2 linked regions of the Elephas maximus indicus genome follow. The protein of the gene in region 1 interacts with the protein of each later gene in a pairwise test. Links are inferred from orthologs where the notes say so. Each region holds a gene or a part of one and is shown in the gene's direction. Other genes may lie near its edges.

Evidence for each region.
Region 2: the proteins of ZNF410 (region 1) and SERTAD1 interact in binary tests that used the Homo sapiens proteins (3 or more experiments, as listed by UniProt). The two-hybrid records come from large-scale screens. The link is inferred for Elephas maximus indicus from reciprocal best matches to the Homo sapiens genes ZNF410 and SERTAD1.

Annotation. Positions count from the first base shown.
Region 1 is NC_064828.1:86,625,245-86,628,991, forward strand, and holds the start of ZNF410 (zinc finger protein 410), read left to right. Parts: upstream 1-848; 5' UTR 849-906; coding exon 907-939; intron 940-2,006; coding exon 2,007-2,142; intron 2,143-3,747. UniProt on the Homo sapiens protein: Transcription factor that binds to the sequence motif 5'-CATCCCATAATA-3', and is specifically required to silence expression of fetal hemoglobin in adult erythroid cells.
Region 2 is NC_064829.1:111,235,821-111,239,567, forward strand, and holds the start of SERTAD1 (SERTA domain-containing protein 1), read left to right. Parts: upstream 1-1,215; 5' UTR 1,216-1,364; intron 1,365-2,956; coding exon 2,957-3,670; 3' UTR 3,671-3,747. UniProt on the Homo sapiens protein: Acts at E2F-responsive promoters as coregulator to integrate signals provided by PHD- and/or bromodomain-containing transcription factors. Stimulates E2F1/TFDP1 transcriptional activity.

The DNA of each region.
Region 1 (3,747 bases):
GATAGAACTACTGTCATTGCTGTGTGAGTTTCCTTTGAATTTTTTCTCTGCATATATTAAGAGGTTTTAAAAATAGCAAATGTATAATTTTATATTTTATTTTTGTAATTTAACACGTCATAAGGAGCCCTGGTGGCGCAGTGGTTAAGTGCTCAGCTGCTAACCAAAAGGTCAGCAGTTCGAACCCACCAGCCGCTCTGCAGAGAAAGATACAGCTTCTGTAAAGAAGCCTCCTTTAAAAATTACATCGTTGGAATTCTATGGGACAGTTCTACTCTGCCCTGTGGGGTTGCTGTGAGTTGATACTGACTCTACAGCAACAGATTTTTATTTTTTTAACATGTCATAAGCATTTTTTTTTGTTTCATCATCTTCATGACCATATTTTTAAGTAACAATGCAGTAATTTAATCACTTCCTAATTAATGGATATATATGTGTATTTGTATGTTGCTTCCGGTTGTTTATTTTCTCAGATGATAAGATGAACATCCTTGGGCATACAGCTTTTTCCATATTCAGGACCTCTTAGAATGGATTATTAGAAGTAGAAATGCTGAATCAAAGCATAACGTTTTTATGGGCTTTGAAACCTCTTGGACTTGTTCTGTTGTAACATGTTTTGGGCTGAGTTCTTCATTTGCTTGTTTATTTTGATATTTGGATATACCTGTGAAGAAGTGTCTGTCTTTGGCCTTTTTAGATATATTTTCCACTGCTCTTAACTCTCTTCCTCTTCCCCTCTCCCCCATTTTAGGCTGAATTGATGTTCTGCCTAGCACAGCATCTAACTGCAGGAGCATAGCATTTTCTAAAGAAATATGAGCATAACAGGAAGGTGTCATTGACTCTGAATTAAATTTGAACCTGTCCCCTGAATAGCTACAGGATTTGGAAGCTGAATCAATGTTATCAGATGAGTTAGAATCCAAACCAGAGGTGAGCCCAGTCGTCCTTTTATTTTGATAGGCTGTATTCCAAAGTTTATCCTTGGTTGCTGGGGTCAGTAAACTTTTTCTGTAATGGGGAAGATAGTAAATATTTTAAGCTTTGTGGGCCATACAGTTTTGGTCATAGCTACTCAACTCTCCTGTTGCAGTGCGAAAGCAGTCATACACACTAATGAGCGTGGCTGTATTCCAATACAAAGTTTATTTACAACACTGATGGTGAACTGGATTTGGCCCAAGGGCCATAGTTTGCCAACTCTTGCCTTAGTTTATTATTTTTCCATTACTAAGTACTTTCAAAGATTTAAAAGTACTGTTTTTATCTTTTATGACTTTTTATATTTGTTATTAAGTGTAAAATTATTATAATCAAGATATTATAAAATGAAATTTATATATGTGTGTGTGTATTCATTTTTCTCACTTTAATGTTAGTGCATCTCTGATGCATAATGGAAAGGTTGCTGAATGTAGAATTAGATTACTTAAGTTGGAAGACTGGTATTGATCTTAACTAGCCATGTGAATTTAGACAAATCACTCAATGTCTTCAACTTGATTTGTCATCTGAAAAATACATGTTTAGTCTTACTGGGTTGCAGTGAGGATTATATGAGCCAGTTCACAGAAGAGTGCTTTGTAAAATGTAATCAATATAATACAGTTGAAATTTTTTAATAGCCATCATTTAAAAATGTAATTATTTTTATCATTTCTCTGATGAGAGGTGACAGAGGTTAACATAATTATAAAATTCAGCCTTTCTCCAGAACAGAGGACTTGATAAATAACTTTAAATATTATGTTATAGTTACTTTAGTTTTTCTATGAATAAAGGCCTAGATTAGTGAACAGTCAAGACTTAATTACTACATTTTATGCAAATAACGTGCAGATTATGCCAGAACGGTTTTAATTTCATCATTTCTGTGTGTGGTATGTGTGGCTGGGTTGTTTGCAAAAATATGGTATATCACTTTTTGGTAAAGTCAAAGGCTTAGATCCATACCCGACAACCTGTATTTCTCAGTGTTGCCTTTTTTTACCCCTCTTTAGCTCCTGGTACAGTTTGTTCAGAATACCTCTATCCCATTGGGACAGGGACTAGTGGAATCAGAAACTAAAGACATTACTTGCTTGTCCCTCCTTCCGGTGACTGAGGCCTCAGAATGCAGCCGGCTAATGTTACCAGGTAAAAACTGAGATCACTAGAGATAGGATAATGGAGTCCTAAGAGCTTAGCCTACTGTATGGTACCAGTGGAGTGGGAGAACTGACTTTATAACTGACTGGTGGAGATTGTAAAAATTGGGCGTCATGGAGAAAAAAGCAATCATGGGAGTTATAAATGCATTGGTAGTTTAAGCCATGGGAATGTATGTGATCACCCCCGGAGTGTGAGAGTGAGAAGAAAGGAAGGCCAAGAGAAGAATGCTATAGAACTTCCTATTGAAGGTATAGAATGAGGCAGAAGAGCCTGAGAAGGAACGGCTAGGATATTAGGAAGAATATCAGCAGAGTGGAAGCATGGAACCTTAGAGAATAATTAACATGTCAGAAGCTCCTGAGAGGCCCAGTGAAATGGAACTAAAAGAAGGCCATTATTGATCTTGATAGGAGCTGTTCCATTGAGTGAAGGGAGTAGAAAGCCAGGGTGCAGTGGGTTGGGGTATTAATACAATATATTCCACTCAATGTAAGTATAGTTGAAGAGCTAACTATACTTTCTAAAGGCTCTCCTGTGACAGGAAGGAAAAGAGAGGCATGTAAGGTAAAGGGAAGAATTTTGTTTTTGTTTTAGATGAGAGGTATTTTTATGCTAAAAGAAAAACACCAATTTATAGAGAAGCTGCAGACAGAAGGAGAGAGTGGATTATGGGTGACAAGGTCAGGAGCAGTAAAAAGAAGTAGAATGCTGAGTATAGGTAGTGAGATTAGCTTTGAATGGAAAGAGGGAGATCTCTACCATTAGAGTCATCATTGAGAAACCATCCCTCAAGGTTTTAGGGGAAGTTGTAAAGGCAATAGATATATTCCTTGCCCTTAGGAGCCTTAATAAATAATGGAGGATTTTTATCGTTTTTAAAAAGACTTCTTGAAAAGGAACTGTACATTTTTAATTAACATTCTAATGAGTCATTCATCATTTGTTCCTTTTTAAGTGAAACCCATGGTAATAGTTCTGGGCTTAGTGAAAACAGAAGGGCCAGTAGTGGGGGTTGGCTGTCTATCCACTGAGACCTATTGCACCCTATTAGCAAGGAGAACGTTATTTTTGGGTGCTATGAAGTCTTTATTTTCTGACCCTTGTTTTTAATGTTTGGAATGTTAATGTTAAATCAGGGGAGGGCCAGTATTGTTGATGATGACTTATTTTGTTTGTTATAAGTTCTACAGGTTACCATTCCCTAGTGGTGTCTTAGTTATCTAGTGCTTCTGTAGCAGAAATACCACAAGTGGATGGCTTTAACAAACAGAAGTTTATTCTCTCACAGTCTAGGAGGCTAGAAGTCTGAATTCAGGGTGCCAGTTCTAGGGGAGGGCTTTCTCTCTCTGCTGGTTCTGGGGGAAGGTCCTCATCATCCATCTTCCCCTTATGTGAGAGCTTCTCATCACAGGGACTTTAAGTCCAAAGGAAGTGCTCCACTCCCAGCTCTTCTTTCTTGGTGGCATGAAGTCCCTCTCCTCTCTGCTCGATTCTCTCTTTTATATTTCAAAAGAGATTGACTCAAGATACAACCTAATCCTGTAGATTTGAGTCCTGCCGCATTAACGTAACTGCCTCTAACCCTGCCTC
Region 2 (3,747 bases), on another chromosome or scaffold:
AGTGCTACGGATTCTAACCAAAGAATCACCAGTTCGAATCCTCCAGGCGCTCCTCAGAAACTCTATGGGGCAGTTCTACTCTGCCCTATATGGTCGCTATGAGTCGGAATCGACTCGACGGCACTGGGTTTGGATTTTTCGGTTTTATTCCCACAACTGCTATTAAAAAGCCCTGCCATCCAGTGGTTTCCGACTCTTAGTGACCGCACAGGACGGAGTAGAACTGCCCCTACAGGGTTTCCAAGGCTGTAATCTTTACAGGAGCCGACTGCCACATTTTTCTCCGCGGGAGCGGCTGGTGGTTTGGAACCGCCGACCTTTTGGTTAGCAGCGGAACGCTTAACCACCGCGCCACCAGGGCTCATTTACAACTGCTTTAAAAGGACATGTTGCATGCCACTTTGAGCATTTTGCACAAATCGTTTAATTCTCAAAACAATCTCCAGAGCCAGACGCTGTTATTTCTCCGGTTTTAAAGATGAGGAAGCTGAGACTCTGGGGATTAAAACATTTGCCTAAGGTCACACAGCTACTTAGGGATTGCAGTCCAGGACTTCAGTGCAGGGCTTCAAACCAGTTGTTCCGGTTGGAACTTCTGCCGAGAATTCGCATTTTCACCCCAAATATACTGAATCAAAAAATCAAAATCTATATTTTAATAAATTCCCCAGGTGATTCTTATGTATAATAAATTTTGAGAACCACTGCTCTACCAGTGGTTCTCAGCATTGGTCACTAACCAGCAGCATTAGCATCGCCTGGGAACTTATTAGAAACGCGAGTTCTCAGCACAACTCTCAAGAGGTAGCCATGACGAGCCCCATTTAAAAAACTGTGTGTGGCTCAGAGAGGTCAAGCATTTTTCCAATGTCATGCATGAGTGAGTGGTAAGCCAGAATTTGCACCCAGGCCTAGCGTGCACACCCCTGTTGCAGCTGGGTGGGTAAGAACTCAAGGGCTGGGTTTAGCAGGCGCATGGGTAGGTGTGAGGGGCTTGCACTTCGATACGCAAAAGCCCCTCCCCGTCACAATCCCTCAGGGCAAATAGCCACGCCTCTTTCTCTCCCGCAGCCGCCGGAACATGCGCTCTGAAGCTAACCTCCCCTCCCTTCCAACCTGCCCCTTACAGGCTCCGCCCACCACCGCATAGGGCCAATCCGTGAGGTAGAGGGTGGGGCCGCCACGGAAGTAGGCGGGAGCTAAGAGGAGTCAGGAGTCTGGAGTTGTGAGCCGGAGTCAGAACCCCGTCTCCGGACCTAGGCGCCGGTTGCTGGAGCGGAGCAAGCGAGCGATGCTGCGGCCGCCGCTTCCTGATTGGCTGCGGGCGGCTAACTCTTCGTTCTGATTGGCAGCTGGTGAACTGGGTATGTAAATGAAGGGAAGAGACCGGGGGAGAGAAGGAGAACCGGCTGCGGGGTCTGTAGGAGGGTTCGATCCCGAGTCCGGCAGGTGCGCGCCGGGGCTGCCCGAGATCTAGATTCACGGGCCTCTACGTGTCGCCCGCCTGGCCTGGCCGGGTGAATCACGCCGCAGCCCGAAAAGGGGGCGGAGGCGCCGGCTCCCTGGCTCCGGCTGCGTGACTCACCCGCCCCCGCCGCCGCCGCTTCGGGAGGAGCCGCCTCCTCTGCCTTCCGGAAGCGAGTAAGAGGCCCGGAGGGCAGAACTGCCCGCCGGAACGGCTCTGGGGGCCAGGCAGGAACGAGAGCCCGGACACGGGGCGGTGTAAAGGGTCCTGGGTTCGGAGGGGCCGAAATCTCCGAGGGAATGCGGGCCTGGGCGCCGCTAGGGGGCGCCGGGGCCCCGGAGGCGGAGCCGGGGGTGGGGGCTAAATTCCTGCGGTTCCGGACTCCAGGGTCTGTGGGACAGAGGGAGAGGACCCAGTCTTGGATAGGATGGGGGTCGCTCTTAAGGTCCTGCTCGGCAAAGGCCCCAGGGATGGATCCTGCAAACTGCCTGAGTCAAAAAAGCAGTCGGGCCAGGGGTCCATAAATCCAGGGATCCACCTGGGGAGGATCTGGGTCCTGAAACTTCTCTGTCACACCCGCCCCCCACGCGCTTCCACTCCCCAGTCAGGATTTCCCGGCAAGTCTTCCCCGCTCTGCATCTCAAATATATCCTGAATCGGTCAACTTCCTTCCGTGTCCACAGCCACCTTCGTTTGCCCCAAAGAGTTACAGCCGCCTGCCTGTGGCTTTTCGGGACACACACACTATTCCTTGCAGTTCCTGTGAGGATCTTCTGAAAACACCATTTCCCTCCCTGCGCACACCCTTCGCTGACTTCCCAACACACAAGGAAAGCCAAACTCCTTACCTTGTCTTATATGGCCGTCAGTGACCTGGCCCCTCCTACTGCCCCCACCTCATCGCCTGCCATCCCACTCCGTGTGCACCAGCCACACCAGTCTTTTTCAGTCCAAGCTTATCCAGCCTCCGGGCCTTTCTTTGCCCATGCTGTTGTTCTGTCTTCCATGGTTCTTCCATGGCTGACCCCTTCTTGTCTCAATTGTCACTTCCTCGAGGACCCTTCCCTGACCACCCCCTACCATGAATCTTTAAGTGTCTTCCTAGCACTATTGGTAATTTTCCTGTATTTGACACAAAGTAGGCATTCAGTAAACACCAGATTTAACTGTGTGAAACAACCACTTCTGTAAGTTAAAAAAAAGTTGGATAATGACCATTTTATATAGTTCAATGAAGAACTAAATAATAGTTATTTCTAAGAGTACTTGTTAATAAAAGTAATTACTGTGTACCAGTCACTGTTGTAAGCCTTTTTGTATCTCATTTAACCCTTAAAACTATGAGGTGAATACCATATGTGAAAAGTTCCCTAAGGTTAAGTGACTTAAGAGAGGTTAAGTGACTTGCCCAAAGCCACACAGTCAGCAATTGTCAGAGCCAGGATTTGAACGTTTGCTTTCTATAACTGAAAGACTCCTTCCTCCCCATAGATGATGCTGAGCAAGGGCTTGAAGCGCAAGCGGGAGGAGGAGGAGGAGAAGGAAACCCTGGCAGTCGATGCCTGGTGGCTGGATCCTGGTCACCCAGACGTAGCACAGGCACCCCCCACCGTGGCCTCCAGCTCCCTCTTTGACCTCTCGGTGCTCAAACTCCACCACAGCCTGCGGCAGAGTGAGCCGGACCTGCGGCACCTGGTGCTAGTTGTGAACACACTGCGACGCATCCAGGCATCCATGGCACCTGCGGCTGCCCTGCCACCTGTGCCCAGCCCACCTGTAGCCCCTGGAGTGGCTGACAGCCTGCTGGCCAGCTCAGACGCTGCCCTCTCAGCCTCTATGGCCAGCCTTCTGGAGGACCTCAGCCACATTGAGGGCCTGAGCCAAGCCCCCCAGCCCCTGGCCGATGAGGGGCCACTAGGCCGCCCCACTGGGGGAGCCCCGCCCAGCCTGGGTGCCTTGGATCTGCTGGGCCCAGCCACTGGCTGTCTGCTGGATGATGGACTCGAGGGCCTATTTGAGGACATCGACACCTCCATGTACGACAGCGAACTCTGGGCACCAGCCTCTGAGGGCTTCAAACCTGGCCCTGTAGAGGGTGCAGGCAAGGAGGCGACTCCAGAGCTGGACGAGGCTGAGCTGGACTACCTCATGGACGTGCTGGTGGGCAAACAGGCACTGGAGCGGCCGCCAGGGCCGGGGCGCTGACCCCCAGGGCTGGGAGGGTTATATTGTGGCTGAACTGAGCCTGGTGGCTGGACCAGCTCTCCTTGGACAGACACAGC